Linked DNA regions of Nothobranchius furzeri. The main gene of each other region encodes a partner of the protein of the gene in region 4 in a complex. Links are inferred from orthologs where the notes say so. Each region holds a gene or a part of one and is shown on either strand. Other genes may lie near its edges. The genes, in order: ints12, ints9, ints6, ints4, ints11, ints7 and ints2.

Region 1 (4,032 bases), on a different chromosome or scaffold from region 4:
ACTAATAAGATTGAATATATTTGACACTAAAACTGCCATATTGTCTGAATCCAAACGCAGAAACAAATCTTCTAAACAATTAAGGAAAGAAAAGGAACTGTTCCTGTTGCTTTTCTTACCTCTAAACCCCTTACTGGTTAGTAGAAACAAGACTGAGGATGTCATTTTTAATTAAAATACTCACACACACCTTCACCTCTGTCCTCTTGAAGGCCTGGAAGGTGCTGGTTGTATCGGTTTTAGCCTTCAGCTCTGTCTTTTTCACCAGCGGGTCTTTAACAACCGGTGCTGAAGATGCAGATGCAGGGGATGGTTTCTGAGGAGGCTTCTGAGCCTGGTCAACAAACAAACAAACAAACAAGTTAGTTCATCATTAAAAAGGTGATGCAGGATCGTGACTTGATTTTCCTCACCATCCGTTTCATTTGCCTGGTGCAACGGGCACAATACCACACAAGCCGTGGGTCATTCACTTCCTTATCAGTCACTTGAGGTTTGTGGCAGTCCTGGTGGTAGAGATTATGACACTCTTGGCACTCCACCAACTGGTTTCCCATGGTCACCGTCATTTGTCTGAGAGAATTAATTATTTAAAAAAAAAAGACTGAATTTCTGCTTAAAATGGTGATCTGATTAATTTGAGGGAATAACATGCTGACAAATCTACACGATTGGCTACTCGTACCTGCAAACCACGCAGGCCAGACCCATTTCCATGGCAAAGTCGTCAGCGTTTGTCTCGTCGTAGTCGTTTATGTTTGGTAGGAGGTCTTTGCTCGTCTGAAATGTGATTGGAGAGGAGCGGTTCTCTTGTTTCTCTAAACGAGGCTTTTTGGGGGGGTCCACTTCGCTCACGTCAACCCTGGCCTGTTTTTCAGCAAAATACAAAAGGAAGTTTGACTAAATCACACAAACAAAAAACACCTGATCACATATTTAAATCGGATTCTGCTTTAAAGCTTTAGAGTTATATAATATGCACTTTTCATTCATTTGTGCACTTTTACTTCCCAATTGAACAGCAACACGACACAGATTACTGGGATCATTAGTAAAAATTGGAAAAATGTCTTCCACACCTTCTCTGATGACCTCTTCTCGCCTTCTTTCTTGCCTTTCTCTGAGCTGGATTTACTACTTCCACCGCTGCTGCCAGAAGAAGAACTTGAAGACTTGGGCTCTTTACTTAAACTCAGCTTTGACACGGATGCCTTTGACACTTCCACCTCCTGAGGACAAAACAATCACACAGAAGGCACAAGCACTTGGTTTTAAAACAATGTCATACGAATGACATTAAAGAGCAAGTCAGCCCCCCCCCCCCCCCCCCCCCCCCCAAATTTCTTTCTTGCTGATAAACTATATAAATGAGTGTCTAATCATGCTGTAGACACTTGTAGTCAATAACTTGGCACTTTGGTGCATCTTAGATAAATTTAAATAATCTGCCTAAAACTGTCAGTGTTACGTCGTCTTCAGGTAAAAACTCTGCCATTGCTATTGTCTAAGAAGTACATTATGATGTCACAAAGTCATTGTGAGCCTGTGTGTGTATTTGTTAGTGGCTCCACCCCCTCGGTCTGCCAGGTAACAGCATTTGTTGCATTTTTCAAACAGGAAGTGGGAGTGGAGTAAGACTCTGGTAGGGGGTGACTTGCTCTTTAAGGGGATTTCTCTACACTCACCTAAAGGATTATTAAGAACACCACACTAATACGGTGTTTGACCCCCTTTCGCCTTCAGAACTGTCTTAATTGTACGTGGCATTGATTCAACAAGGTGCTGAAAGCATTCTTTAGAAATCTTGGCCCATATTGGTAGGATAGCATCTTGCAGTTGATGGAAGATTTGTGGGATGCACATCCAGGGCACGGAGCTCCCGTTCCACAGATGCTCTATCGGGTTGAGATCTGGTGACTGTGGGGGCCGTTGTAGTACAGTGAACTCATTGTCATGTTCAAGAAACCAGTTTGAAATGACTGGAGCTTTATGACACGGTGCATTATCCTGCTGGAATTAGCCACCAGAGGATGGGTACAAGGTGGTCATGAAGGGATGGACATGGTCAGAAACAATGCTCAGGTAGCCCGTGGCATTTGGGGTTCAGGAGATTGCCTTGACCAGGACCACACCCCAAAATGCACTGAAGCAACCGCCATGTGATTGATTGATTAGATAATTGCATTAAGGAGAAGTTGAACAGGTGTTCCTAATAATCCTTTAGGTGAGTGTATATGAGAATGAATTATCTTACTTTTTGTGAAGAGCGATAAGAGGAATCGCTGCCTCTAGCAAGGGACTCATCAAGTAGAGCTTTGAGCTTCTCAGCTGAATCTTTGCTCTTGGAATGTAGATAACTCAGTCCTTTTAGGAAGATGGGATCCAGCTCCAAACTGACAGGTCCAGCCATCGCTTCCACTAGAAATCAAACAATAACAATTCACGTAATGCTGTGAATTAGTATCATTTCATCAAAGTAAAAAGAACTGCCGGCGCCTATAAGCCGAGTCCCACCGATCCAACTGCTGTGAATGACTTTAAACATTGGCAAATATTTGGTTTCTGAGTAAAAACAGGAAGACGGACTACAACCACAGAAGCACCGCGGTAGTTACCGAGGTCGCTTTATAATTCTAAAATTGAAGCTCATAATTATCATAAACACAGGCTTACCCGAGACTGGGTGTATTTTCTGTTTTACCGGAATATTTTCTTTCTATTGAACAACGGAAAACTGAGCAACACTTCCGTCGGCGTTTCGTCTTCACATTTGAGTAACCGACAAATATGTCCGGAGTCTGCAAGGGCGGAACGTTTTGCGAAATTTGTATTCGCGTTCGCGTGGTTATTATACTATTTTGGTTATAATAAAATAAGTATTCATCCCACGTATGTTTTCCTTTGCGGTACATATTTTGTACATAGGTGTTACTCTTTCATGAAGAGAGTTTTGAAACGTTTGAGAAGACCGCTGGCGGCGCTGTGGAGCTATGCTAGTGAAAAAACAGCAGAAGAAGAATCACCAAAACACACCGGTCCGCCTGTTTCAGGTAAGTCATTTTTCTTGGGTCATATGTTGAATTTAAGTAATCTAGACGTAAAAGTACCAACAGAGAACACTAAAACAATGATAAAACTAACTGATTGTTTTACTGTCCTTCTAGTTTATTTACAATGAAGCACAACGAGAAAAAAGAGCAACATCTCTCCCTCTTCTTAGAGGTTTGTTCCCAGAACGAGGAGCTGCGTCTCCCCCTGCACACGTCCATAGTTATGTTTCTCCTATCATACTGCGAGTGCAAGTCCTTCAAAGTGTTCATGGTTTACACCAGTAGCTGCTCGGACGCTTTCAGGAGCCAGCTCCCAGTGCCTGTTGGTGTCAGCTGGGTCCAGCTGGAGGATCTGCCCCAGCTGGTGAGGAGCTGCCGTCTCCCGGCAGCGGTGGATGAGAGCGGGCGCCTGTGCAGGGCAGGACTAGCCGTGGTGCTCAGGCACATTATCATCAAAACCACTGAGGAAGACCCTTCCAGGAAGGATGTTCTGGAGCTGCTGGGTTTCAAAAAAACCTGCTTGAAGGCCTGTGCGGAGGTCAGTGGGAGACAAGCGTCAGCTTTTGGGTGTCTGGGGAAATCAGGTGTAGAGATCCACTGATATGGGGTTTTCAGATGCTGATACTGATGCTGATATATGGGGGTCATGGTCAGCTGATGGCCGATATTTGCTACCGATGTTCGCGGCCGATAACTCGACATTTTCCACCTTATTTGCATGCTTAGATGTCACTGACAAAAACATGATGCACAACGTTTCTGAACATGGATCCGTTGTTGAACTCTGAATTTAAACAACTCTTGTATCTTAATTTTTTTTGCACCGCTCGTATTAAAATCAAACATTTAGCCAAAGGTAATCGAACAAATCATAAACTGACCAAGTCTTAAATAAAAACGGGTAAACAAAAAATACTTCAGTTAAGAAGAATGTTTTTAAACATTTATTAAGTAGATCAGGAACACACACGCACATTTAAAT
Region 2 (3,087 bases), on a different chromosome or scaffold from region 4:
CAATACGCCGGCATCCTCTGACCACCACCGGCAGGCAGGGAGAGTTAAGTGTCTTGCCCAAGGACACAACAGCAGAGTTCTCTGCTGGGAACCAGGATCAATCCTACAACCCTCTGACTACTGGTCCAGTAATCAGATTACTCGATTCTATATGTATTCTGAGAAACAGCTGAAGAAAAAGGACGGATTTATGGCGATATGGCTGGCTGCCTTGCTCAGTGGCATAAATCACCAGGCAGGTGGAGTCTTTGATCTCCAGCTGATGGATGGTGTCGAGAACGGTCTGCCCTTGTTTAGACGAGTGTACATGTCCCTGGTGTGTCAGGACAAACGCAGGCAGCCTACCTGGACCTCCTTCAGCAGTTTGGACACCTGGTGGAAGTTGAGCCGCGTGTCAATCGGACAGTAAACACACTTCATGGCTAACGGCTGATAAGGGGCCAGAGCATCCAGGTAGGAGAAGTCTGGCTCTGATGACAAGAAGAAGACGTTACAGGGTTGTGTTTGTGTTCTTGTTCCAGAACCACACAGAAGCGTCTGTGTGATGGTTACCAGTAAAGATGACTGTATTCAGGCTGGACTTGCCCCACAGCTCCATGAAGTGAACCACATCCCCGAAGCGCAGAGACGGGTGGCCGGTGAAGACCACGCACGGCTGCCGGAACTCGCTGCTGAAGTCCCCGTGGATGCTGGGGTAGTGCTTCAGCTTGTTGGTCTGGATCAGCTGAAACATCAACAGCTAATTTACACCAGCGGTCATCAAAAGGTGGAGCAGGTTCACAAAACACAACCAAGGTTGTTTTTTTTTTACTAAGTTTGAGGAGATGAAACAAGATGGCTGCCACAGCTATTCAATAATAAAGACGGATAATTCTGATTCTGATCTAAAAGTGAAGGTAGCTGAGAGAAAATAAGCACAAACCCAGAGAGCCCTATGGATTAACAGGAAACGTGCATTTGTTCAAAGAAGGCTGGACTTCATTTAGAAACGTTTGTTCTTCACTGAGAGTTTGAATCCCGCAGCAGCAGCTCTCACCTCTGCATGTGGAAACGGCGGCTCTGGCAGATACACCTTTGTTTGTTTATTATGACAAAGCCTGGAAATATCAAGCACAAGTAACCAGAGCGTCACAGAGAGGCTGTGGCTTTCTTCATCGGATTTCAAATCCTCCTGAAACGTGTGAAACAGTGAAGGCTGTTGGGCTACGGTTCAGAGGGGAAGAGGAGCAGCTGCTCACCACTCAGCAAAGATCTGGGAGAACTCCAGCGAGCTGTTGGCTACAGGAGAGATGAAGTAGAAGGGTGTGGTCCCCAGGTTGGCGCTCTCGATGAACTGGTACAGACACTCCAGCAGGTCATAGATGACCCCTGAGGAGTAACACGGTACCAGCACGTTGCCTCCTGCCCGGATCGTCATGGCTGCAGGTCCACACAAACACAAACACACTCATGCTTTGGATTTAAAAGCTGGAAGAACGGTTTACTTTGAGCATCTGAACACACCCAGGTTGCTGCAGAACTCTCCCAGCATGCCATCTGGGTTAGCAGTGGGCATCTGTGTGAGGCCAGTCAAAATGAGAACGTCGCTGTTCTTCAGCGAGCTCTGATCCATCGGCTAGAGGAGAAAACGCATTTCAGGTTTCATCAAGCCTCACGTGTACCATGATCTGATTCAAGCTGAGCTACCTGTGGGTGTGTGGTGAGGAGGGATGACCCAGACACGTAAGACACCTTCTCGTGATGGGACTGGATGATCCAGTTGGAGCTTCCCAACGAGTAGCCAGAGCTCAACGGGGAGACCTGAACAGCTCCAAACAACTCCTGAGGAGGAAAAACTGGTTTCTAGTCCACACACGGCTTTAGGGGAGCAGGAATTTGATCTGAACTTTGTAACAGAAATGATGACCGAGCTGCCTGCAACACTAGTTTGTACTCTAAAACAACCATTCTCTACCAATTTAAATCATGTACAGACAAAACACAAGCATGACTAGAAAGCTCAAAATGTTCTTCCTTTGTATTTTGTGCTGTTCAAAACAGATGCTGCCCCCTAGTGGTGCTGTGTGGGTCCCACAATGATGAGGACGGTTGGTTCTATCTGAGCAAAAACATGAGCAGTGTGGCTACAGCCTCACATACAAATCTGTATCAATGTCCAGAGAAATGGTGCCAGTACACACACACACACACACACACACACACACACACACACACACACACACACACACACACACACACACACACACACACACACACACACACACACACACACACACACACACACACCCCTACTCACCACTTTCTGAGAATAACCGACAAGCTGCACTTTGCTGAGAGCTGAGTTGACCTCATGCATGCTGTAGCATCGTTTCCACGTCCACACGTCAACAGCTTCCTTCAGCGGCCCAGGAAGAACCCTGATGATGCAGGAGCAGCGTTAGAACCCTGATGATGCAGGAGCAGCGTTAGAACCCTGATGATGCAGGAGCAGCGTTAGAACCCTGATGATGCAGGAGCAGCGTTAGAACCCTGATGATGCAGGAGCAGCGTTAGAACCCTGATGATGCAGGAGCAGCGTTAGAACCCTGATGATGCAGGAGCAGCGTTAGAACCCTGATGATGCAGGAGCAGCGTTAGAACCCTGATGATGCAGGAGCAGCGTTAGAACCCTGATGATGCAGGAGCAGCGTTAGAACCCTGATGATGCAGGAGCAGCGTTAGAACCCTGATGATGCAGGAGCAGCGTTAGAACCCTGATGATGCAGGAGCAGCGTTAGAACCCTGATGATGCAGGAGCAGCGTTAGAACCCTGATGATGCAGGAGCAGCGTTAGAACCCTGATGATGCAGGAGCAGCGTTAGAACCCTGATGATGCAGGAGCAGCGTTAGAACCCTGATGATGCAGGAGCATCAGTAGAACCCTGATGATGCAGGAGCAGCGTTAGAACCCTGATGATGCAGGAGCATCAGTAGAACCCTGATGATGCAGGAGCAGCGTTAGAACCCTGATGATGCAGGAGCAGCGTTAGAACCCTGATGATGCAGGAGCAGCGTTAGAACCCTGATGATGCAGGAGCAGCGTTAGAA
Region 3 (3,956 bases), on a different chromosome or scaffold from region 4:
CGCTTCCAAAGAAAAGCCCAGACTGAGTTCCAGCACCAGGCGTGAAACTTACCGCGTAAGCTAGCTATACCGTGGACAACGTGAAGGTTAACACAAATAAGGACTTCTTCTCTAAACAGATTTTTCTGTTCCTCCTTCCAGAGAAAACATAAAAGCAAATCCTCAGTTCCATCTTACTAAATGGTGGGAACTGTGATGAATGGAGACTTTGACACGTTTCAGATAAGCTTTAAAACAGCTGTCTACACTTCACCCCCACCCCCCCCACATGGCTTCACTTTGAGCAGCTACAGCCAAATCATAAACTAACTAAATCGATGATGTCATCGGGCACATTGCCTGAAACGCTGAATTGCCTGCAGGTGTCGTGGGCTTGGTGAGTTTAGAGTGAAACCAACATACTGGAAACTGGTTTTTGTCCGTTCTACTTGGAACGTTTTCACACATTCATAAACGAAAACTTGTTATTTCTCAATATTGTTTTATTTTCTCTTTAGAAAAATCTTAATTACCCTGATGTTTCAGTGAAACTTATCTTGGCTTGTGTTGCTGACTTTTAGGTGAAACTGTAGATTTTCCTAAATATAAAAACTAGAACAAGCTCTCATCTGTGTTAAAGCATTTAACACTCATTATGAAACTTGTTTTCTGCTATTTTAAATTGGATTCAGTCTAATAATTCTCCAAATTGATAGCAGTTCAGCATCCATGTGCCAGAAGATATTAACTTTTAGAACAACATGGAGTCTAAGTTTTCCGGTCGGCTCATGGGTTCCCGGAAGAACAAAACAAAAAAAGAACGCAAGTCCACGGGACTTAAAGAGCTATTTTCTAATCCGCTTTGCTTTACGCCCTGGATCGCACATATGTTGTATTTCAATGAAAAGTATTGATGTGTTTGGATCACGCCTGTCACGTGTTTTGAGATTTATCGTAAATACTAGGACTACAGATCAGACGTCAGTACACCGCATATCGTATATGATGTCATCACAGAATATCCTCTCCCCTAGCGTAGCTGCTACTTCTCACATGGCCAGATTTATAGTAGTTCTTTCCTCCTGAAAGAAGGATTTGACATTCGCAGAACGTACAGCCATTTTTTCTGTTCATGTCTGGTTCGATGTCAATTCGTAATGCGTACTTGTAGTCCTGAACGTTTCACACAAGACCTAAAATAACTTTCGCCCTCGTTTGAAAATAAGAGCTTTCTTGGCATCAAAATGTTAAATTTCACGGATGTCTTGTGAAAACCATACGGGATCAGAAAATAGCATTTTTAGCCTCATTGACTTGTACTCATTTTCTCGTTCTTCCGGGGCCCCGTGGTCCTGAAGTAGATGGGCTTATGCTAGATTTTGTTTCAGAAATATAATCTGGTGCATATGAGATTAGCCTCTTTGCAACCTGCATCTAAGTTTTATGACTAAAAAGACATTTTAAAATTATAGCATGAAACACTGGACTTATAATCGGTCCCTGCTTCTTTGGTAGTTATGTTTGTGTGTGACTGCAGGGGTGTGTTTGGGTAGTAGATGCTTGTAGGACTGGGGCAGGGGAGTGGGGTTGTTGTGGGTGCGTTTAGTACATTTCCAGGGGACTACATACCTGTCCATAGTTGTCTATGCCAGTCACTAATCTATTGAGATTGAGTAAATCAAAAGATGTCCTCAGGGACTGTCCAACAGTGGTGAGTCCAGTAGCTTGGAGGTTCCTCAGCTCTGTCATGAATGTGGCGTGGCTCTCCTTCCACCCAGCCTTTATGGACAAAACAAAGCACGTGATTCATAAAAGCTACTGTTCTGGTCACTAAACTACTTTAAATAACTTATTTCCAGCTTTAATGTGGAAGTATGATGATATTTAGCTGGGATGAAGATCAGCGCCGCAGCCTGGATCCTCTCTGCTGCTGGTGTGACACCAGCTCGGATCACACATGACGATGTGGCACGGTCGCAGCGTGTTCGGGACAAAAGCGGCAATTTTCTCTCTGCTAAAGTAGTCTAGTTGTCCGTCACCCCTCCTCCTCCACCTCCCTCCCTCTCTCATATCACCTCTCTGTATAAATAACACCCAGAGTTCCTTGCTGCTCGCACTGAAATAAAATGTCGGCCATGTTTTAAAAGGGGTATGAAAGCTCCTCCTGGAGATTTTCTCTACAACAATTGATCACAAGGCGGCGGGGAGATGGAGGACAGTCAATCTGCGCAATGTAAAGCTGGACATGACCCGAAAGCAGATTCTACCTTGATCCCGAACGGAGCATCTTCAAAATTTACCAGCATGTACCGGTCCCCTCGGCTCGCCGGATCTCTCCCTCTGAGCTGTGGAAAATAGAGAATGATTTACGGTTACTGGGAGATCTCGGCTTGACAAGGCGAACTTGCAACAGCACAACGATAATCCGAACTAGAATCCCGTTTGGGATCTCCCAACATGAATGTGTCCCGTGGTCACAGTACCTTCATAAAAGTCTCAACAGCGCCTTTTGCTATGTCCAGATAGGTAGTGCCCAGATGGGTGCGCTGGTTCATTGAAGCGGACGTGTCTATCAGAAAAAGTAAAACGGGCATTGTGATGGTAATGACACGTTCTGCATGGACTTGGTGTCAGTACAACCGGCCAAAACGCAAAAAAAATCTTTTGTTCTCCTGCCGCCTGTCTCACCCCTCAGCTAGCTAGCTAGCTGGCTAACTGTCTCACACATTCTTTCAAAAAAGTGTAAGAATAGTGAGTATAGAAGCCCATTCCGGGAAAACTAAGCTAAAAGCCTCGAAACCTTGGGGCAGGTTAATGATTTACGATGGATTTTGATAATTTTTACAATATATTGTAAATATTCCTAAGTTTCATAGTAACAAAGTTCCCCCTCATAGTGACTCCCTGCTTCTCCCTACACTGAATGCGTTGTGTCTTCTCCGTTGCTTTTAAATGAAGCCCCGCACCTGACCCCGCCTCCTAAGCGCTCTTTTTCTGTCACGTGCAATCAACCCAGCTTTTGATTGGTTGAAGGAAGCCACTTATTAACATATCCAAATAAGGCCAAAGCTAGTTCTCTAGTGCGCATGCTTGCTTAACCAAATGACAGGAATGCAGGGAAAAATATTATTCACATACATTTTGTGTTTAGTAACGCGACACATGTGGTAGGAAAAGCCTTTTTGGAACACCCCAGCTGTTTTTCTTTAGCACCAGTTATCAACAGCCTTGTGTTTTGCCCTGCGGAGTGATTGCATAATCAACATTTTCCTCATATATGCACGGGCGTGGGCCAGTGTGAATGGAAACCCATAAAGACAAAATAAAAAGTACAGGCTGAGATGGATGTTGTAAGATTATAACTTAAGGAAGGTAGCCATTTGTTTAGAGAAAAGGAAAACAACACACTGAAATCATGACACTGTGTGATGATCATATAAAAGATTTTAACTAACAAAACGACCAGAAGGGTTATTTTTACAGTTTTTGAACTAACATATAAAAATCAAGACACCAAATAAGTCATTGTGCGTGTACTTTTGAGCTGTTTAAGTTGATTATATGTATAAACAATTATCTGTAGACTACTAGATATATTAGTGTCACCATCCTGTTTATGGTTCACTTTTCATGCCACATGACACTGAGTGAGATAGTGCAGCTCGATCAAAAACATCAACACTTCCGCAAAAACAAGACGAAACCAACCAGTGGCTGTGATCGCAGAGGGAAGGATGGTCTATCTTATTTTTGTCGTCCTATCGCACTGCACATAGTTCATCCGGTTTGTTACTGACACGTTTTTCAAAATAAAAGTAATCCTGTGGTAGGACATCAAAAATTCTTTCTTCAGTCTGCATGGTAGCGATTTTGGTAGCACTGCTGCCTCACAGCATGAAGGTAGGTTCAAATCCTGGCGGTGGCCTTTCAGGTAATACTATTTCCTTCTGTAGGCCTAAAATATGCATGTTAGTTGA
Region 4 (3,957 bases):
CGAGCTAAGTTTTTATTTATCGCAAGTAATATCGTCATCGCAATATTAATCATTATGGAATATTGCAGGTTCTCCTAATATCGTGCAGCCCTACAACGGAGTAAGTGCTTCTTCACCTTTCTGGGTAGAGCTGGCTGAGAACCCACACCATCTGCACAGCTGCAGAGCGAACCTGCTCGTAGTCGTCCGACAGCAACCTGCAGGCCTGCAGGCACACAGGAAAACGCAGCGTTAGTACACTCTAAGGCCACTCCTCTGGAGAAGATTCAACAACAGCTGGACCTGATCGTAGATGATCTGGTGGATCTTCATCCCTCGGTCATGAAGCTGCAGCTGGAAGACAGAAATAAGACCTTGTGTAATCCGCTCAGCGAGGATCGGGACAAGGATTTGTGGTCCGCTGTGTCCTACCATGGCTTTGATGGCTGCAGTTCGGACTCGGGGGTCCTGGTCGGCAAAGTAGTTACTGATGATACTCTGAACATCCCTCGCTCCTCCTGAAGTCAAACGCTAAACTCACAACTTGACTTTTTAAAAGATAATCTTGGGAGACATTTCCAAACATTATTTAATTAAATGAAAGCTGCCGTTTGAATTAATTCTACATACATATATTTTGTAAAGGTGGTAGAACAAACACACTTGGTATTTCTAGAAACTATTTTAGGACAAACTGATGTTTCTCAAGTCTTTTAGAGACTTTCTGTGAGCGTCGAACTGATTTTGGTCCAGATCCCGACCATTCTCAGATGTCCTGATTCAAGATTTATCGCCTAAAATTAATCTTAAACTTCTGAAATCCTGTTCAGGAACCCTTTAAAAGATAAAGTCAGGTTCTCTGGAAACAAGTTTTTACACAAACGACGACTCGAACCTGAAGACGAGCTCGGTCCATTGCTGTCTTTAGTCAGAGGGGCGTCCACCAGGCCGAGACATCCCAGGAGCTGCAGACATTTGTTCCTCACCCCGAAATACGTGTCAGACAGGTGCTAGCAGGAGGGAAACAGACCGAATTTTACTGAGCAGCAAGGCAGCAGCCTTGTTATTCAACAGCTCTGTTCATTTCTGTTCTTTTATCTGGGGTCAGGTCACAGCAGCTCCAGCAGGGAGCCCATACTGTCTTCTCCACAGCAACCTCCACCAACGCCACCAGTGGGACCCCGAGGCATTTCCTAGTCAGCCTGGAGACAAAATCCCTCCATCAGGTCCCGGGTCGACCCCGGGGCCTCCTACTGGACGGACGTGCCTGGAGGCATTCTGACCTGATGCCTGAACCACACTGACAGTAGAAGCCCTACTGTGTACTTCATGTTACCTTGCAGGCCACCTCGATGAGCCTCAGTCTAACTGCTGGGCTCTCAGGAAGCTGTGACCCAATGACCAGCAGAGTGTCCAGCAGCTGAGCGAGGACCTGGTGGGACTCTGCACACGCACAAGAAGAAACACGAATGAACACGGTCAGCCTCTGTTACAAATAAGATACTAATTCTGAAAGGGATCAAAATAAAATGTAAACCAATCTGTGTGTAAACACGTCTTACTCTCGTTGCCGAGTGTGTTAATGGCATCATCAACGATGCAGTCGGGGCTGAAGCCATTTGTTTTGGATAGCAAACCCAGCAGAGAAGCGATCTTCAGCCTCACAGAGTTATCCGTCTCCTGAGAGGAGGACATCGTCATCATCTAGATGAGCTTAGTGTGTTCATCTCTGCTTCAGGTAAAGCAAATGTGCTGGATGCTAGGACTCTGAGCCGTACCTTGTAGTAGTGCTCCAGCAGGATGCGGATAACACCCTCCACGCTCTCCACCTCCACAGGTTTGCGGGCAAACTGCAGCAGGTACTGCAGGGCGTCGGTGGAGTTGGTGGCTTTACAGAGGTCAACATGCAGCGCTGCCGACTTGCTGGGTTTGGACAGACGCAGCTTCTTGGCTTGAGCTTCTTCATGAGGAATCTGCAAACGAACAAAACAGCCAGAGAAGCAAAGTAACATCAAAACAAAACAAAAAAACAGGAAATGACCTCTCTGTTCACTAAACGTTTTTTTCTGTGTTAAATTATTCAGCAGCAAATATGTTACTGATGTTTTTTAAATTTCTATTGATTATTTTGTATATGTATGGGGTTTAACATGATTATCCTAACTTATGAAATAATCGATTTACATATCAAAGTAAGAAGATCCTGAGAGTCGGGCTATTGGGACGAAAACAGCAAGAACCCACACATGACAGCTGATCTACTTCTGCACCCAACAGCACTTTCATTGGTTTTCAAAGTGAAGAGTTTGATTTACTGTAATTGACAAAGATCTCCAGGTATCGTTCAAAAGAATGCAATAGCACCTCTGTGCACAAATAAACATGTAAAAAAAACAAATTACAAACTAAAATCTGAGTCAGCAGGAGCTAGCATGACGGAAGCTAACAAGCTCGGTTTTAGATTTCAAACTCGCTGCAATCCAGAATATTGTTAAACGACATTTCGTAACAAAAACGAATGATAGATTTAAATGCTCAAATTAAGAACAAACCCTCCCAACGCGAACGTATGTTGTTGTGCTACGTTAGCTTAGCAGCTATTTAGCAAGTGTGTCCAAATTTCAGTTGAACGCTTGTTCTTCTTTTTAGCTGAACAAAACGTAAACAACATAAAGATAATTTATTTGTTCTCACCTGGACTACTTTAGAAAATTCCTCATAAACTCGCTTTTTCAAATGAGCTGCCATTTTAACGTAGTTACGCCAGCAAACATGCAAGTTTGTTCCTCGACGCTTCCCGTAACTACGGATAGTCTAATCAAACGCGTTTCGTAAATGCCTCTTCACACACACACACACACACACACACACACACACAGACACACACACACACACACACACACACGCACACGTACACACACGCACACACACACACACACACACACACACACACACGACAGTAAATTTGCATTTTGACTACAATTATAAATCTACTACGGGATTTAAAGTGATTTTGCTTTGTCTATTGATATAAAGATGATTATTTACGAATAACATTGCCAGTTTGCAACTACAATAAAATTTAAGAAATAACAATAGTTTTAATTTTGACTTTATTAAGTAAGATGGACTATAAATAAATTAGTTTGCATTAAACCAGATTAAAACTTTAGAATAGAAAAATAATAATGAGTAAATTATTATGAAAATGGCTGTGAAAGTTGTCTTTCCTTATTAATGAAATCTTACTTATTTAAATCTATTTAGATCTTATGCGTGGTAAACAAAGAACACTTTTTCAAAGTTCAGCAGGTTGAATGTTTTTAGATAAGATAATTCGATATGCAAACAAAACAACAAGATATTGGCTTTTTGAATGTTTACACTTATTTCCATACATCTCAGATATTTTAACTGACAACATTCCAAAATGTGTATAAATGTGTATAAAAATAACAAAGAAGCATATTTCTCAGATTTTTTTTTATTTTTCTTTATTTGCACAAACACCACAATATTCAATTCGATTCAAGTTTATTTATATAGTGCCAAATCACAACAAGAGTCGTCTCAAGGCACTTCACATAATAAACATTCCAATCCAGGTCAGGTCATTAAGCCAATCAGAAAATAATGTTTCCTATATAAGGAACCCAGCAAATTGCATCAAGTCACTGACTAGTGTCAGTGACTATACAGCAATCCTCATACTAAGAAAGCATGCAGCGACAGTGGAGAGGAAAACTCCCTTTTAACAGGAAGAAACCTCCAGAGAATCCTGGCTCAGTATAAGCAGCCATCCTCCACGACTCACTGGGGATCGAGAAGATAGAGCACACACGCACACACACACACACGCACGCTCGCACGCACACATCTAACGTCAAGGAAAGCAAAAAGGACAGTAGAGAAAATAAGAATTGTTTTCTGTAAATCGTCTTGTTAAATAAAAGTTTTATTTAAAAAAATTCAAGGTCA
Region 5 (3,500 bases), on a different chromosome or scaffold from region 4:
TAGATTAGTTTCACCTTTTCAGTTGAATTAATTACATAAATGAACTCCAGCATCATTTTCCAATTGTTCGAGTTCCTCCTGTAGACGGTATACTATACGGTGATGATAAAAAAGCTTTCCTCTGTAGAACATTCAGCTGCTTAAAGTTGGGCGTAAAGTTTGGTTTTGTAATTTTCAAAGGAAATTTGAATTAGTAAAACTCAGCTTAGTACATCAAACATTTCTGAGGAGAGAGCTGCATTTATTTTTCAAGACCAAGAAGTTGGAAAATGACCCAAAAACTACAGACAAGTGAAGACGTAGACAGACCTAAACCTTAGCACACATAAAGACACTGCCTTTGCAATCTGAGTTGTTGTGTTTTGTAGAGCTGCCTGGATCGATAAGTGCCGTCCAGACATCCTGATATCGGAGTCGACGTATGCCACGACCATCCGTGACTCCAAAAGGTGCAGGGAAAGGGACTTCCTGAAGAAAGTGCATGAATCCATAGAAAGAGGAGGAAAGGTACTTTTACAGACTTAATATTTTACGCGTAAATGTAAAGATACTTTCTGAGTTCTTTGTTTCCTTTGCAAGGTTCTCATTCCGGTTTTTGCTTTGGGACGAGCACAAGAACTCTGCATTCTGCTGGAAACATTTTGGTATTTTTTAACACAAGCTTCATCATAACTTGTATTTTATTCTCTGCATTTGCCGTGAAACTGTTGAGATGTTACATTTGTCGGGGCTAGGAAGTAAAGTGCATGCAGCGATGTGAGGAGATAAGTCCAGGTAAGGCAGGGAAGCTTTATTTGTGTAGCACATTTCATTCACAGACGCAAGTCTAAATGACGTTAGATAAAAAGCTAATTTTCTGCCTCGTGGTTTCCGGGGATCGAATTAGATCAATTAAAACCTTTCAGTGTAAAGTCAATGCACGTAATTATAACACAGAAGGTCACATTTTTATTTCAGTAACAGTCGTAATTATTAAATTAGGCTTGAAATAATAGCTTGTTGATGGGCTAATTGGGTCCTCTCGCCGCGCAGGGAGAGAATGAACCTAAAGGCCCCCATCTACTTTTCCACCGGGCTCACGGAGAAAGCCAATCATTACTACAAGCTCTTCATAACGTGGACAAACCAGAAGATTCGGAAAACCTTTGTGCAGAGAAACATGTTTGAGTTCAAGCACATCAAGGCCTTCGATCGCTCTTATGCTGATAATCCAGGGCCAATGGTGAGTTTGCTATTTCCTTCTAACCTTTGTTTGTTTTAGAATTTAAAACAGTCCCTGATGTGTGTACCGTCTGTTTCCAGGTGGTGTTTGCCACTCCGGGTATGTTGCACGCTGGTCAATCTCTGCAGATATTTAAGAAATGGGCTGGGAATGAGAAGAACATGGTGAGACTCTCGTGGTTCCAAACATCTTTTGGTGTTTTTAATCAACACTTTAGAATAAAATAGTCTTTTTCTGTAGGTAATCATGCCTGGGTATTGTGTACAAGGAACTATTGGTCATAAGATCCTGAATGGACAAAGGAAACTGGAGATGGAAGGAAGAGCAACAGTAAGATTTCTGTTTTGAACTCAGTTGTGTTAGACCAGGATCTAATCACTAGGGTTGAGCCGGATACTCGTCTCAGTGTCCGGTACGGATAAAGCTTTTTTCACGGGTACCAGTAAAACCCGTGAATATCTGTGTCCATGCTGAAGTAAAATCCTCATTGGGTAACTGACTGTCTTCACGCTCTGTGATTGGCCAGTCACACTGAGCGCCTGCCCCTCTTTGCAAACAAAACCATCAGATGGCCCGCAGCTGCTGTCACACACACACACACACACACACACACACACACACACAGCGCTCCGTCGCGCATGATTGGAGTGGATGGTTTTATACGAGCCACAGATCTAAGTTGTGTGTTTATCAATGACATTTTCGTACAATATAGTCTCACTAATAAGCGCCAATGGAGCCAAGCTCCGGTGTGAGTTAACGTGATGATCCTGTCTAACGGGGACGGCGGGGAACCAGGACTCGACTGAGGAAATTCCCAGTCCGGTCGATGTTTTTTTCTAAACCCACAGGTGATAGAAAATAAGATGAAATAAGCCTGAATATTTTCTCCCGCTGCTCAGCTCTGTTAGAAATACGCAGGTGTCTGCTTAAGCTGGACAATATCAAGTATAACAAGGTGTTCACAGATAATTGATCTTTCATGAAAAATAATATTAATCCTTTTTTATTTTCTTATTGATTTTATTTCATTTCTAAGGTTTGGATGCCTCTGAACATTACAGAATTTTTTTTCCTCTCTAACACTGTAGAGGTCTTTAAAAATCATCTAAAAACTCACCTTTTCATCCAGGCGTTCCCTCCCTAAATGTTCTTAAAGACGGCTTTGTTCGGGTTCACACCTTCACTTTGTTTATACTCATGATTTTATTTTCTACGTTTATCACTGCTATTGTTTTTCTGATGTTTTTATTGGTTAGAGGTATTTGCCCTGATCTTTATCATGTTGTACAGCGCTTTGTGATTTATATACCAATTACCAATTTTATTTATATAGCACATTTAAACACGGCATGAGAGCCGACCAAAGTGCTGAACAAAACACACAATAAAAACAATCAAAAATAAAAACTAAATCCATTAAAATCAAGTAATCCAACCCTAAAAGGAAAGGTAGAAAGGGAATAAGTTAGACAGAATTAAAAGCCAGAGAATAAAAGTGAGTTTTTAAACGAGACTTAAAAAGGGAAAGAGAGGAAGAGAGTCTGATCGGGAGGGGCAAGTGGTTCCAGAGCTTCGGTGCACAAACTGAAAAGGCGCGCTCCCCGCGGGACTTACAGCGAGAGCTAGGGACATGTAGGAGGTGTTGGTCAGCTGATCGGAGGGATCTTGTAGGGACATATGGGTGAATGAGCTCAGACAAGTAGCCAGGTGCTAAGTTATTTAGGGATTTAAACACAAAAACCAGGATCTTAAACTCTATCCGGAGATGGATGGGGAGCCAATGAAGATTTGCTAAAACCGGTGTGATATATCTGTGAAAGGCGCTATATAAATAAACTTTTACTTACTTACTTACTTACTTACTAATATTAATAACAGGTCATGACCTAAAGTGGGTCGGTCTGAGGTGTAAAACTGTCCTGGACCTAAAAGCCTTGCAGAAGCATTTTGTTTCTATATAAACACCAACAACAAATAAATAACAGCAGCTGAATGTGTCTGCATACCGCCCCGAAAGTAGGCAGTTGGGCCCCTGACACACACACACACACACACACGTACACACACCTTGTTTTGTTTAACTTTGTGTGGGGAAAAATGCCAAGAACGTTAGAAAAAAAATTTTAATCTAAAAATAATTTAAATACAAAAGTTTTGTTTTATTCTAGTAGTTCATATTTCCGACTGCATGTGTACAGTTGTATTCATTCATGTACTTTAATGTTCAATTCTAGTTTATTTATAAAGCGCCAAATCACGACTATATTCACGGTCC
Region 6 (4,054 bases), on a different chromosome or scaffold from region 4:
AAGGCTGTACCTGCCCTTTTAAGGTATGTGAAAAGCCAACGTATATAAATGCAGTGATCAAAAAGATCTGCAATGGGAGTGGTACCGGTTTGATTCCTGCTCACTCCAAACTGCCTTTAGGCAGCACACTTCACACACCTTGCTATTTCACCTCTGTAAGTCGCCTTGTATAATAGTATAATGCATAAACATAAAAAACACCGAGAACGAACACAAAGAAACACAAAAAAAGGATTTTTAGCTATTTCACTCTTTGCTGGTTATTTTGATGGTGATCACAGATAATGTTAAAGCTCAGCTAAATAAAAGTTTAGTTAGGGAATAATTATTAAATTGTGCTGGCATAAAATGTTTGAAAATACTAAAGAAACCGCAGGATGACGTAGCATTTACGTCATATGCTGATTTCAGTTGGCTTTTTGAACATTTCTTCTCTCAAAGATAAAGAACCAGAACGAGACAGCCATCTAAGATTAAACAGCTATATAGATTTTTCTATGCCAAACACAAAGGTTGATTTTTTTTCCCTATCAAGCTAAAAGCTACCAGCAGTTACAGATCTCAAAGTCCCCTAAGCGCATCGTGGCTCACCATTTTGCCTCCGTCGACCCACTTCTCTGTCAACAACAGAACGGAAAAGCACTCCCATCATCCAGTACAGAGACGATCTGAAAGAAACACTTAGAAGTTGGTCAGATCGTGAACTGGGGGTCTCCTCTTGTCTGTAGCTGCTGATTATATTTCCCGCGTATTGATCAACTAAGGGGAAGAACCAAATTACGCGCGAAGCGTTTTATTCAACTTCTATTGGCACGTTGGTGCCGCGGTTCAAAGGTCGACTTCCTTAACGGGATCGTTTCCGCTTCTGCTTCCTTTCAGGGGAAAATCCTTCAAAATAAAAGAACCACGCAGGCACGTAAACAAAAACAAACATGCGAACGACAGCATAAAAAAATACACGAAGATCACTGAGATGGAGTCATCGACGACCAAGCAGAGCTTTTTACTAGCCATGAAAAAGTATAGAAACACATATGGTTAAATAATAGCATTTTTAAATAAACCACAAATAATGATCTGTATCAGTCGAGAAAACATTCTCTCTATTTGAAATAACTGCAGAAACTCTTTTTTAATGCAATCTATTTATTTACACCACGGTAAATAGATAACCTAATTTAATTCAAGATTTTTATCTTTTGAAATAAATCAAGCATTTGTGAGTTGTGTCATGTGAAAATTTTCTTTGAAAAGCACCAGACCGGATATAGTGTTACTGTAACACAACAATGCTACTTAGCATCGCCTGAGCGTTGAGAAGATAATAGGAATAGTCATTTATTATACCTCAAATATTAACCGAAATTTTAAAAAATGTCACTTTCAACAGCGCGATCATTTCTATCGGAGGCTTGTTATGGGGAGCAAGAACTAGACGCTAATTCCGCTCTTATGGAGCTGGACAAAGGTGCTAACCAGTTAGCATAATGCTAATTGTACTGTGGTGCTGTTTTATGTGTTTATTCGATTTTTTTTTTGTTCAAATTCGATCAGTTATTGGAGGTTTGTCCGTCTTATTTTGTGACTAGAGCATTGTTTATAATTTCAGGACTGCGGTCAGGGAAGCCAGGAGAGCAGTGTGAAGCGGTGGTGTTGTTCCCCAAACTCTTCCAGAAGTACCCCTTTCCCATCCTAATCAACTCAGCCTTTCTAAAACTAGCTGATATCTTCAGGCTCGGGTATGGAAGCATCAATATTATTAGTCCATAGTTGGTTATATGCTAATTTATTTTATAGATTGTCATTACTCCTATTAAAGCAACATAACCATATTACAAAGTCAATGTTCATGAACATTAAAGCAGCCAGTACTCAGAAATGCAACAGTTCACCTTGGCCTCAATACTTAAATCACTCAAATGTAATTAACTTATTTTCTGATTATAAATATTAATTTTATTTATCTACAATCAGTCTAGCAGTGTCCCAAACGTGTTCATCTAAAGGTGCCTGTTTTTCTGCCCAGCAACAACTTTCTGCGTCTGTGTGTGCTGAAAGTGACACAACAGAGCGAAAAACACTTGGAGAAGATCCTCAACGTTGATGAATTTGTTAAAAGGGTGTTTTCGGTCATTCACAGTAATGACCCTGTGGCCAGAGCCATCACTCTGAGGTAAAGAGGATATGCTCCAGAACACTTATTTACAGCCCTCTTTTTGACACCCAATATGTAAAAGAAATTATTTTCTGTTTTTTTTTTATTCAGAATGCTCGGTAGTTTAGCGTCCATTATCCCAGAGAGGAAGAATGCCCACCACAGCATTCGACAGAGCTTAGACTCTCATGACAATGTGGAAGTGGAGGCTGCTATTTTCGCTGCTGCGAGTTTCTCTGCACAGTCAAAGTAAGGGAAACCGTGGCTGGAATGAAGCCCTCATGCCAGAAAATTGGTGGTTTTGCAAACATTAGACGTTTGATTTTACTGTTTCCAATGTTGCAGAGACTTTGCAGCTGGAATTTGCAACAAAGTCAGCGAGATGATTCAAGGTAGGTTTGCTTGAGGTGAAAAGATCATCACACACACACAGTCATGGTTGTCTTTTTAATTATTTGCATTCCTAGGTTTGGACACTCCGGTTGAGCTGAAGCTGAAGTTGATCCCTATGCTGCAGCACATGCATCATGATGCCAGTTTAGCATCCAGCAGCAGAGAGCTTCTGCAGCAGCTGGTCAACTCCTACCCTTCCACCCCCATGGTCATCGTTTCTCTGCACACCTTTACCCAGTTGGCTGCCTCCTCTCTCATCGATATCCCCAAGCAGGTAGTGTCATGTACCTGATTCAGGTTGTGCATATCTGCTTTTATCCTGAATTACATCAAAGTTACCGATCCACCTCCGTTCACCCAGTTGGAGCTCCTTCTTCAGTATCTGAAAGATGATCCGAGAAAAGCTGTAAAAAGACTCGCAATTAACGACCTAAAGCTGTTGGCTAAAAAGGCACCTCACCTATGGATCAGAGAAAATACTCAGGTAGAGATGCCGACAGTAAAATATTCTTGCAGCTGTTAAATCTGCACCGAGTCTAACAAAGGTCGTGTCTGCAGGTGCTGTGTGAGTGCGCTCTGACCATCCCGTACAACAGTCTGAAGCTGGGGATGTTGGCTGTCCTCTCCACCCTCTCTGAAACAATAGCAATCAAACAGTATTTCAGTAACGCAGCTGGTGAGTGTTATTTTTGTTTCTGCTGTTGTGAAATCGGTGTATTCATTTATTTTTTTCACGTGGAGCAGAAGAATCACTTTGAATCAAGTTGTTAAAACTTTCCTGTCAGGTGGTGCTTCAGTTCCCCCTCGGCTCACTGACCTGGTTAAACTGGCACAAGAATGTTGTTACCATAGCAACCTGGTAGTGGCTGCTCACGGGGTCATTGTGCTGTGCAACATCACGATTTCCTGTTCGGAGAAAGGTTAGTTCCTGTGGACAATGGCCTACTTGAGGGATTTCTCTAACATCACTTCCTGTCTGTTGTTTAATCTCAGCGTCTCTTTGACTCGGTCTGTTCTTGTTTTTTTTAATTGTTTTATTGTTATTTGTGGATTTCTTGTCCTCAGACAGCGTTCAGCTGGAACAGGACACGGTTTTGGGAGTGGAGTCCCTCCTGATGCTGTGCAGTCAGGACAGCAGCTCCAGTGCCCAGGCCACTCTCAAAGTAAGACATGAGTAAATAGACAGCAGTAGCTCAACAGGTTGAGTAGCGGGTTGTCCAGTAATCGGAAGGTTGCAGGTTCGATCCCGGCTCCGGTCAGAGAATTCTGCTGTTGTGTCCTTAGGCAAGACATTTAACCCACGTTGCCTGCTGGTGGTGGTCGGAGGGACCGGTGGCGCCTGTGCTCGGCAGCCTCGCCTCTGTCAGCGCACCCCAGGCCAGCTGTGGCTACATCGTATCTCATCACCATCAGTGTGTGAATGTGTGTGTGAATGGGTGAATGATACACTGTAGTGTAAAGCGCTTTGGAGTCCTTACTCTGAGAGGCGCTATACAAGTGCTGGTC
Region 7 (4,193 bases), on a different chromosome or scaffold from region 4:
TATAGACTATATATGTCTCGTATTTACATTGTTTTAATGTATATCCAAAAAATTAATTTATTCTGAAGGTACGTTGTTTTATTTTTTTATTTTTTTTTATCCTTCTGAAGGTGTGGCGGCTTTTATTTTGCCGTGGAGCAAAATACACATAGTGGAAACCCTGAATCGGCCATGAAATCAGCAGCACTTATCGGCTATCGGCTGACCACAACCGCCTCGTGTCGGTACCGGCAATAAAAAAAAACAATATCGGTCGACCTCTAGTCTGTATAGTGAAAGATAAAGATAGAAGTAAAAGATAGGGATTGTTGGTCCATAGCGCCCAGCTCTACCTGGATCACACACACACACACACACACACACACACACACACATACACACACACACACTTCTAGGGGAAACCCTGAAGGTTTTTACATATTTTCCTTAAACAATAGACCCCCGGGGGGGTTAGGGCTAGAGCTTATGTGACATGCTGCGGCGTGTGTAAGCACCTTGTTCATGATGACCAGCAGTTCGCTGAGGGTCAGGCGTAGCCTACGGAGGGGGTCGCTGTGTTCAAACTCCAAGGTGAGGCCATGTTGAAGCTGTGACACCAGGAAGCTCTCTCCATTGGAGCCGCCTCCCTTGTTTCTGGTGGGGCAGACACAATACTGTAACCACCAAGCACAATTATACATTGATGCTGTCCAATGTTTAACCAGATCATTGGTGCTACCTGAATTGCTGCTCCTTGCGTGCGTCCTGCTCCAGTGCGTGGAAGTCCACAGACAGAAGTGCTACGATGGAGTTGACAGCTTCCACTCCAGAAAGCAGCCGGAGAATGAGCTTCTTGTCTTGAGCCCAGGTGTGGCTCTGATCTGCAGGAGCACATAAGGCCATTCTCACCAGGCAGGGGAGTAGGAGCCGGAGCTCTGGATCACTGAGGGCCGCCAGGCGAACAACATCCACCTTCTGCATGGCTTCAAATGCAAAAGAACTGACAAACTGCAGCCCTGCGCTGTCTGCCATCTCTCTGCCTTTACCCTGTTTCACACACACACATTAAACCAAGTGAGCTCAGACTGTAGCTGAAACACTGACACACTAAGCTTTTTTTAAACTACTTTAGAGAGACTAGGACATCATTTTCTCATGAAAAACATCCCCGAAGCAGTTTTTGGGTTCACACGTGAACTTTCTCATCTCAGCTGCAGCTTCCTCTCACCAGAGCTTTTAAAACCAGCTGGATGGGGGAGGTTTCCGTCATTATGCCCCACTCCTCCACATCCAGGTAGTGTTGACTCTGGATTGCACCTCTCCTGGACTGTAAGCACAAACTCTGTGTGTAACTAGCAGAGAGTTTAATCTCCACAGTTTTGAAGAAGTTATTTATTTCTTATCTAGTCTTCCCTTTAAATGCTACCTATAACCCAGAAATAAAGATGTAGGGTTAGAAATGGTTGGATATATCTTCAGGACCTCTCAAAAACAAAGCATGTGTTTGTGACCATGATTTCTTAAACAACCACCAGTACCGGCGAGGCTTTTCAGACGATCACTTCTTTAAACCAGCACCGTTCTAAAGTTCTAACTAGCCGATGGAGAGGTTAGACCAGTGAGTAAAACCAGAGTGAGTTACTCTGTAGCTGTAGGCGGGCGGGCGAGTGTCAGGGACAGACCGGGACAATATTTCATCCCAGCTGCTTTTTCTCCGTCTGAATAGCATTTGTTTTTGCGTGTGTTGACGAGGATTTGCACTTAGCAAATGGGGAGTGGGTCATTTCAGTGTTCCCCCAACAAAGGTTCAACGCAGAGCCACGGCTATGATATCCACCCCCCACGAGTTAGCATCTCGTGACTCACTTTTCATAGTTTTTTTCTTAGTTAATACACAGCGTAGCAAAGTTATTACCTTCATCTGTTGACAGTTTCGGTGTCACACAGCTGCCATCTTAAGCGCCTCGCCCTGGGCGAAACTGTCAGCAGATGAAGGTATAAAATGTTGCTACTCTGTGTTTTAAACAAGAAAAAACTGGAAATCGAAAATAAACATAAAGGTGTATCTGAGGCTTTTCTCAGATCTAGGAAAACTGCTCTACATCACCACTGTCTATAGAGAACTGTGGCTAACATCTGGCTTTCCACATGTTCACACACACTTCTCCATGTGGGCGGGTCAAAGATGTGCAGAGAGGTCTTTACTGTCCTTTAGTTGGTAAACCAAGGCGACCATGATCAAGGTTGCTTTTGGAGACTTCTGATATGAAGCACGCTGCTTCCTACCCTCTCAGTGAGACTCTATAAAGAGCCATTTCGTTCCTGACTGATCCATCACTAGTGCTGAGTGTTGGTGGAAGACTACATCCTTGTGCAGGAAACTCGATTTTCTTCAGAAGGACAAGTGCATCTTGTTATTTTCTGTTGAGAGACTTCATTCATGTTTAACATTTTGGGAGTAAATGGAGTTTTCAAAGATGGGTCACAGTTTAAACACTAGTTCCCCGGACGTGCCATGGTCTGTTTAGCTAACTAGCTGTTAGCTATCTAGTACTTTTGATGCGAGTCTTAACATGCTAACAGGATGCTAATGCTAGCTGATGGAGATTATTACTCTTATCTGATACACTACGGGCTGCCTCCACTGACAAATGTTTCTAGTTAAAGTAATGTTTGAATTTAATATTACCTAACCCCGATAAACCGATTCGGTGCCTAACAGAGGAACGTGACCATCGAGGCCTTACCTCTGATTTGACCAGCCTGACCAGGTGTTCGAGATGAGCAGTATCATTTGGAATCGTAGGATGTCTAAGGAACATCCCGCCCTTCTCGCCTCTGATTGGCTGGAAGGGCTCTATTATGATTGGCTTTTTCAATTAGCATCAAACAAGGTCCCGCCTTTCTCGCCTCTGATTGGTTGGAAGGGGCTCCCCTACGATTGGTTATTTCATTTAAGAGGACGCTGTATTCCCTCGCTGCAGGTTTTTATGTTTACAGCCAGATCTTGAGGAGTTTTGAAGAAAATGTGAACTCATCGCTATAATAAACATCCTTTCCTATTTAGCAACAAACCAGTTTCAGTTTCTTTCATAAAAGAACCTGAAAGACATCAAATGTGAACTTGTAATAAATCTTGTTGCATTTTATCACAATGTAGACTGACGTTTTATCTCTTGGCTCGTTTGGGGTTATCTTATTACTTAATTATTAGGCTGTCCTAGGTTAAGGCTGTTAACACGTTAGATCATATCTCTCATCTTCAGATTAAATGTGTATCGTTTTATCAAAAATTAAGTTAAAGCTGATTATGATTTAGACCAATTTTTCACCATTTTCCATTATTCTATAAAAGAAACAGACCTGATGCACGCAGCTGGGCAGAATATGGCAGTTTTGTTAAATTTCATACCCAGGTAAGGCACATATGTTTATCCTATGTACTCTAATGCTTCAGAGCCAAGAGATATAAAGTCCAACAGTTTGATTTATTCAACAAGATTATAAATTCACATTTTACGTTTTTCAGTTTTTTATGAAACAAAACAGGACAGAATGGTTATTATTATGGTGTATTCAATGGACTGAGTTTGTTATCTTGCCTTAGCTGATGTTCTTTGGTGGCAGGGGTTGATGACGTCAAGACTGGGAGACAGGGTGTTTTGTTCAATAAAGTTTGAGCTTGTAGTAAAGGCACTAGTGATGTGTCGGTCGCGAACGAACCGGCTCTAAGAGCCGGCTCTTTGAAGTGAACGACGGGAGCCGGCTCGTCATTGGGAGCCGTCCCCCCCCCCCCCCCCTCCCCTTTTGCTTTGGTGAAAGCCACAGGTGATTGGTCAAGATGTGTAACTGCGTGTCCAGACTGTCCACACACAGAGCAGTAGGGGTGGGGAAGAGGGAGGATAAGACTCAGACACACAGCAGAGCACATGCGGGCGGAGGGAGACGAGAGGGAATGAGGAGGAGGAAAATGGCGAGAGAGAGAGAGAGAGAGAGGAGAGTGTGACGAAGACGGTGAGAAAATGAGCGCCAGCAGTCGGAAAGTGGAGATTTCTGAAAGTGTTCAGTTATTAAATCCATAGAAATGATAAATATTTGATATATAGAATTTTTTAAATTTAGTAAATCATTTTACACATAGTTTTGCATTATTTTGGTTATAAATGTACTCTACGCAACTGAAAATCTGAGGAGCCACTTGGGAGCCGAAAGAG

The links.
Region 1: ints4 (region 4) and ints12 share a complex: the UniProt entries of both Homo sapiens proteins name them as parts of the integrator complex. The link is inferred for Nothobranchius furzeri from reciprocal best matches to the Homo sapiens genes INTS4 and INTS12.
Region 2: the proteins of ints4 (region 4) and ints9 are in contact, whole or in part, in a cryo-EM structure (PDB 8RC4), measured with the Homo sapiens proteins. The link is inferred for Nothobranchius furzeri from reciprocal best matches to the Homo sapiens genes INTS4 and INTS9. Residues at the interface, in NP_291025.3 of Homo sapiens: Leu53, Gln54, Leu57, Gln58, Arg61, Lys62, Pro86, Ser87, Leu90, Lys91, Ser94, Gln125, Gln129, Asp132, His164, Gln207, Asp208, Pro209, Arg210, Arg212, Asp244, Tyr245, Glu246, Gln247, Trp296, Phe837, Gly840, Leu841, Val842, Val843; in NP_060720.2 of Homo sapiens: Lys2, Tyr4, Lys18, Ser21, Thr22, Leu43, Val44, Gln45, Glu87, Glu89, Leu90, Asp92, Asp97, Thr122, Glu145, Arg146, Val147, Pro148, Lys159, Glu174, Ser176, Thr177, Ser192, Gln195, Phe206, Gly207, Ile379, His380, Ser384, Asn385.
Region 3: ints4 (region 4) and ints6 share a complex: the UniProt entries of both Homo sapiens proteins name them as parts of the integrator complex. The link is inferred for Nothobranchius furzeri from reciprocal best matches to the Homo sapiens genes INTS4 and INTS6.
Region 5: the proteins of ints4 (region 4) and ints11 are in contact, whole or in part, in a cryo-EM structure (PDB 7BFP), measured with the Homo sapiens proteins. The link is inferred for Nothobranchius furzeri from reciprocal best matches to the Homo sapiens genes INTS4 and INTS11. Residues at the interface, in NP_291025.3 of Homo sapiens: Leu159, Asp161, Thr162, Arg167, Tyr203, Gln207, Asp244, Ser292, Gly294, Trp296, Arg299, Lys323, Met326, Ser327, Asp328; in NP_060341.2 of Homo sapiens: Pro183, Trp191, Lys194, Asp212, Gln288, Gln400, Gln404, Lys462, Met465, Ala466, Leu469.
Region 6: the proteins of ints4 (region 4) and ints7 are in contact, whole or in part, in a cryo-EM structure (PDB 8RC4), measured with the Homo sapiens proteins. The link is inferred for Nothobranchius furzeri from reciprocal best matches to the Homo sapiens genes INTS4 and INTS7. Residues at the interface, in NP_291025.3 of Homo sapiens: Glu536, Met539, Asp540, Arg571, His572, Ala574, Tyr575, Asp578, Ser579, Ser610, Phe613, Arg620, Leu624, Leu627, Gly631, Glu634, Leu635, Phe638, Arg641, Asp642, Arg645, Leu646, Glu648, Leu649, Gln650, Lys677, Leu678, Trp679, Asn680, Val681; in NP_056249.1 of Homo sapiens: Lys137, Asn138, His140, His141, Arg144, Gln145, Gly175, His205, His206, Asp207, Ala208, Ser244, Ser245, Leu246, Val247, Lys282, Thr283, Pro284, His285, Thr286, Thr321, Ile322, Lys325, His326, Gly686, Tyr689, Glu704, Gln707, Gln708, Leu711.
Region 7: ints4 (region 4) and ints2 share a complex: the UniProt entries of both Homo sapiens proteins name them as parts of the integrator complex. The link is inferred for Nothobranchius furzeri from reciprocal best matches to the Homo sapiens genes INTS4 and INTS2.

What each region holds. Positions count from the first base shown.
Region 1 is NC_091746.1:80,674,993-80,679,024, reverse strand, and holds the start of ints12 (integrator complex subunit 12), read right to left. Parts: upstream 2,801-4,032; 5' UTR 2,674-2,800; intron 2,419-2,673; 5' UTR 2,411-2,418; coding exon 2,255-2,410; intron 1,230-2,254; coding exon 1,080-1,229; intron 868-1,079; coding exon 686-867; intron 574-685; coding exon 414-573; intron 335-413; coding exon 185-334; intron 1-184. Other genes in the region: gstcd (glutathione S-transferase C-terminal domain-containing protein), read left to right, coding at 3,175-3,588. UniProt on the Homo sapiens protein: Component of the integrator complex, a multiprotein complex that terminates RNA polymerase II (Pol II) transcription in the promoter-proximal region of genes.
Region 2 is NC_091742.1:17,904,515-17,907,601, reverse strand, and holds part of ints9 (integrator complex subunit 9), read right to left. Parts: intron 2,418-3,087; coding exon 2,297-2,417; intron 1,822-2,296; coding exon 1,687-1,821; intron 1,616-1,686; coding exon 1,504-1,615; intron 1,420-1,503; coding exon 1,239-1,419; intron 1,098-1,238; coding exon 1,037-1,097; intron 725-1,036; coding exon 553-724; intron 471-552; coding exon 346-470; intron 1-345. UniProt on the Homo sapiens protein: Component of the integrator complex, a multiprotein complex that terminates RNA polymerase II (Pol II) transcription in the promoter-proximal region of genes.
Region 3 is NC_091754.1:31,095,990-31,099,945, reverse strand, and holds the start of ints6 (integrator complex subunit 6), read right to left. Parts: upstream 2,801-3,956; 5' UTR 2,574-2,800; coding exon 2,463-2,573; intron 2,325-2,462; coding exon 2,247-2,324; intron 1,759-2,246; coding exon 1,609-1,758; intron 1-1,608. UniProt on the Homo sapiens protein: Component of the integrator complex, a multiprotein complex that terminates RNA polymerase II (Pol II) transcription in the promoter-proximal region of genes.
Region 4 is NC_091753.1:58,549,107-58,553,063, reverse strand, and holds the start of ints4 (integrator complex subunit 4), read right to left. Parts: upstream 2,801-3,957; 5' UTR 2,728-2,800; coding exon 2,674-2,727; intron 1,953-2,673; coding exon 1,758-1,952; intron 1,660-1,757; coding exon 1,542-1,659; intron 1,423-1,541; coding exon 1,316-1,422; intron 990-1,315; coding exon 875-989; intron 498-874; coding exon 412-497; intron 334-411; coding exon 283-333; intron 206-282; coding exon 117-205; intron 1-116. UniProt on the Homo sapiens protein: Component of the integrator complex, a multiprotein complex that terminates RNA polymerase II (Pol II) transcription in the promoter-proximal region of genes.
Region 5 is NC_091755.1:39,105,287-39,108,786, forward strand, and holds part of ints11 (integrator complex subunit 11), read left to right. Parts: intron 1-368; coding exon 369-507; intron 508-579; coding exon 580-644; intron 645-1,032; coding exon 1,033-1,222; intron 1,223-1,302; coding exon 1,303-1,386; intron 1,387-1,462; coding exon 1,463-1,552; intron 1,553-3,500.
Region 6 is NC_091742.1:7,888,369-7,892,422, reverse strand, and holds the start of ints7 (integrator complex subunit 7), read left to right. Parts: upstream 1-1,254; 5' UTR 1,255-1,374; coding exon 1,375-1,468; intron 1,469-1,609; coding exon 1,610-1,739; intron 1,740-2,026; coding exon 2,027-2,173; intron 2,174-2,266; coding exon 2,267-2,404; intron 2,405-2,500; coding exon 2,501-2,547; intron 2,548-2,622; coding exon 2,623-2,822; intron 2,823-2,909; coding exon 2,910-3,032; intron 3,033-3,106; coding exon 3,107-3,224; intron 3,225-3,333; coding exon 3,334-3,468; intron 3,469-3,613; coding exon 3,614-3,711; intron 3,712-4,054. Other genes in the region: dtl (denticleless protein homolog), read right to left, coding at 592-652. UniProt on the Homo sapiens protein: Component of the integrator complex, a multiprotein complex that terminates RNA polymerase II (Pol II) transcription in the promoter-proximal region of genes.
Region 7 is NC_091750.1:42,407,117-42,411,309, forward strand, and holds the start of ints2 (integrator complex subunit 2), read right to left. Parts: upstream 2,801-4,193; 5' UTR 2,727-2,800; intron 1,027-2,726; 5' UTR 1,012-1,026; coding exon 719-1,011; intron 634-718; coding exon 495-633; intron 1-494. UniProt on the Homo sapiens protein: Component of the integrator complex, a multiprotein complex that terminates RNA polymerase II (Pol II) transcription in the promoter-proximal region of genes.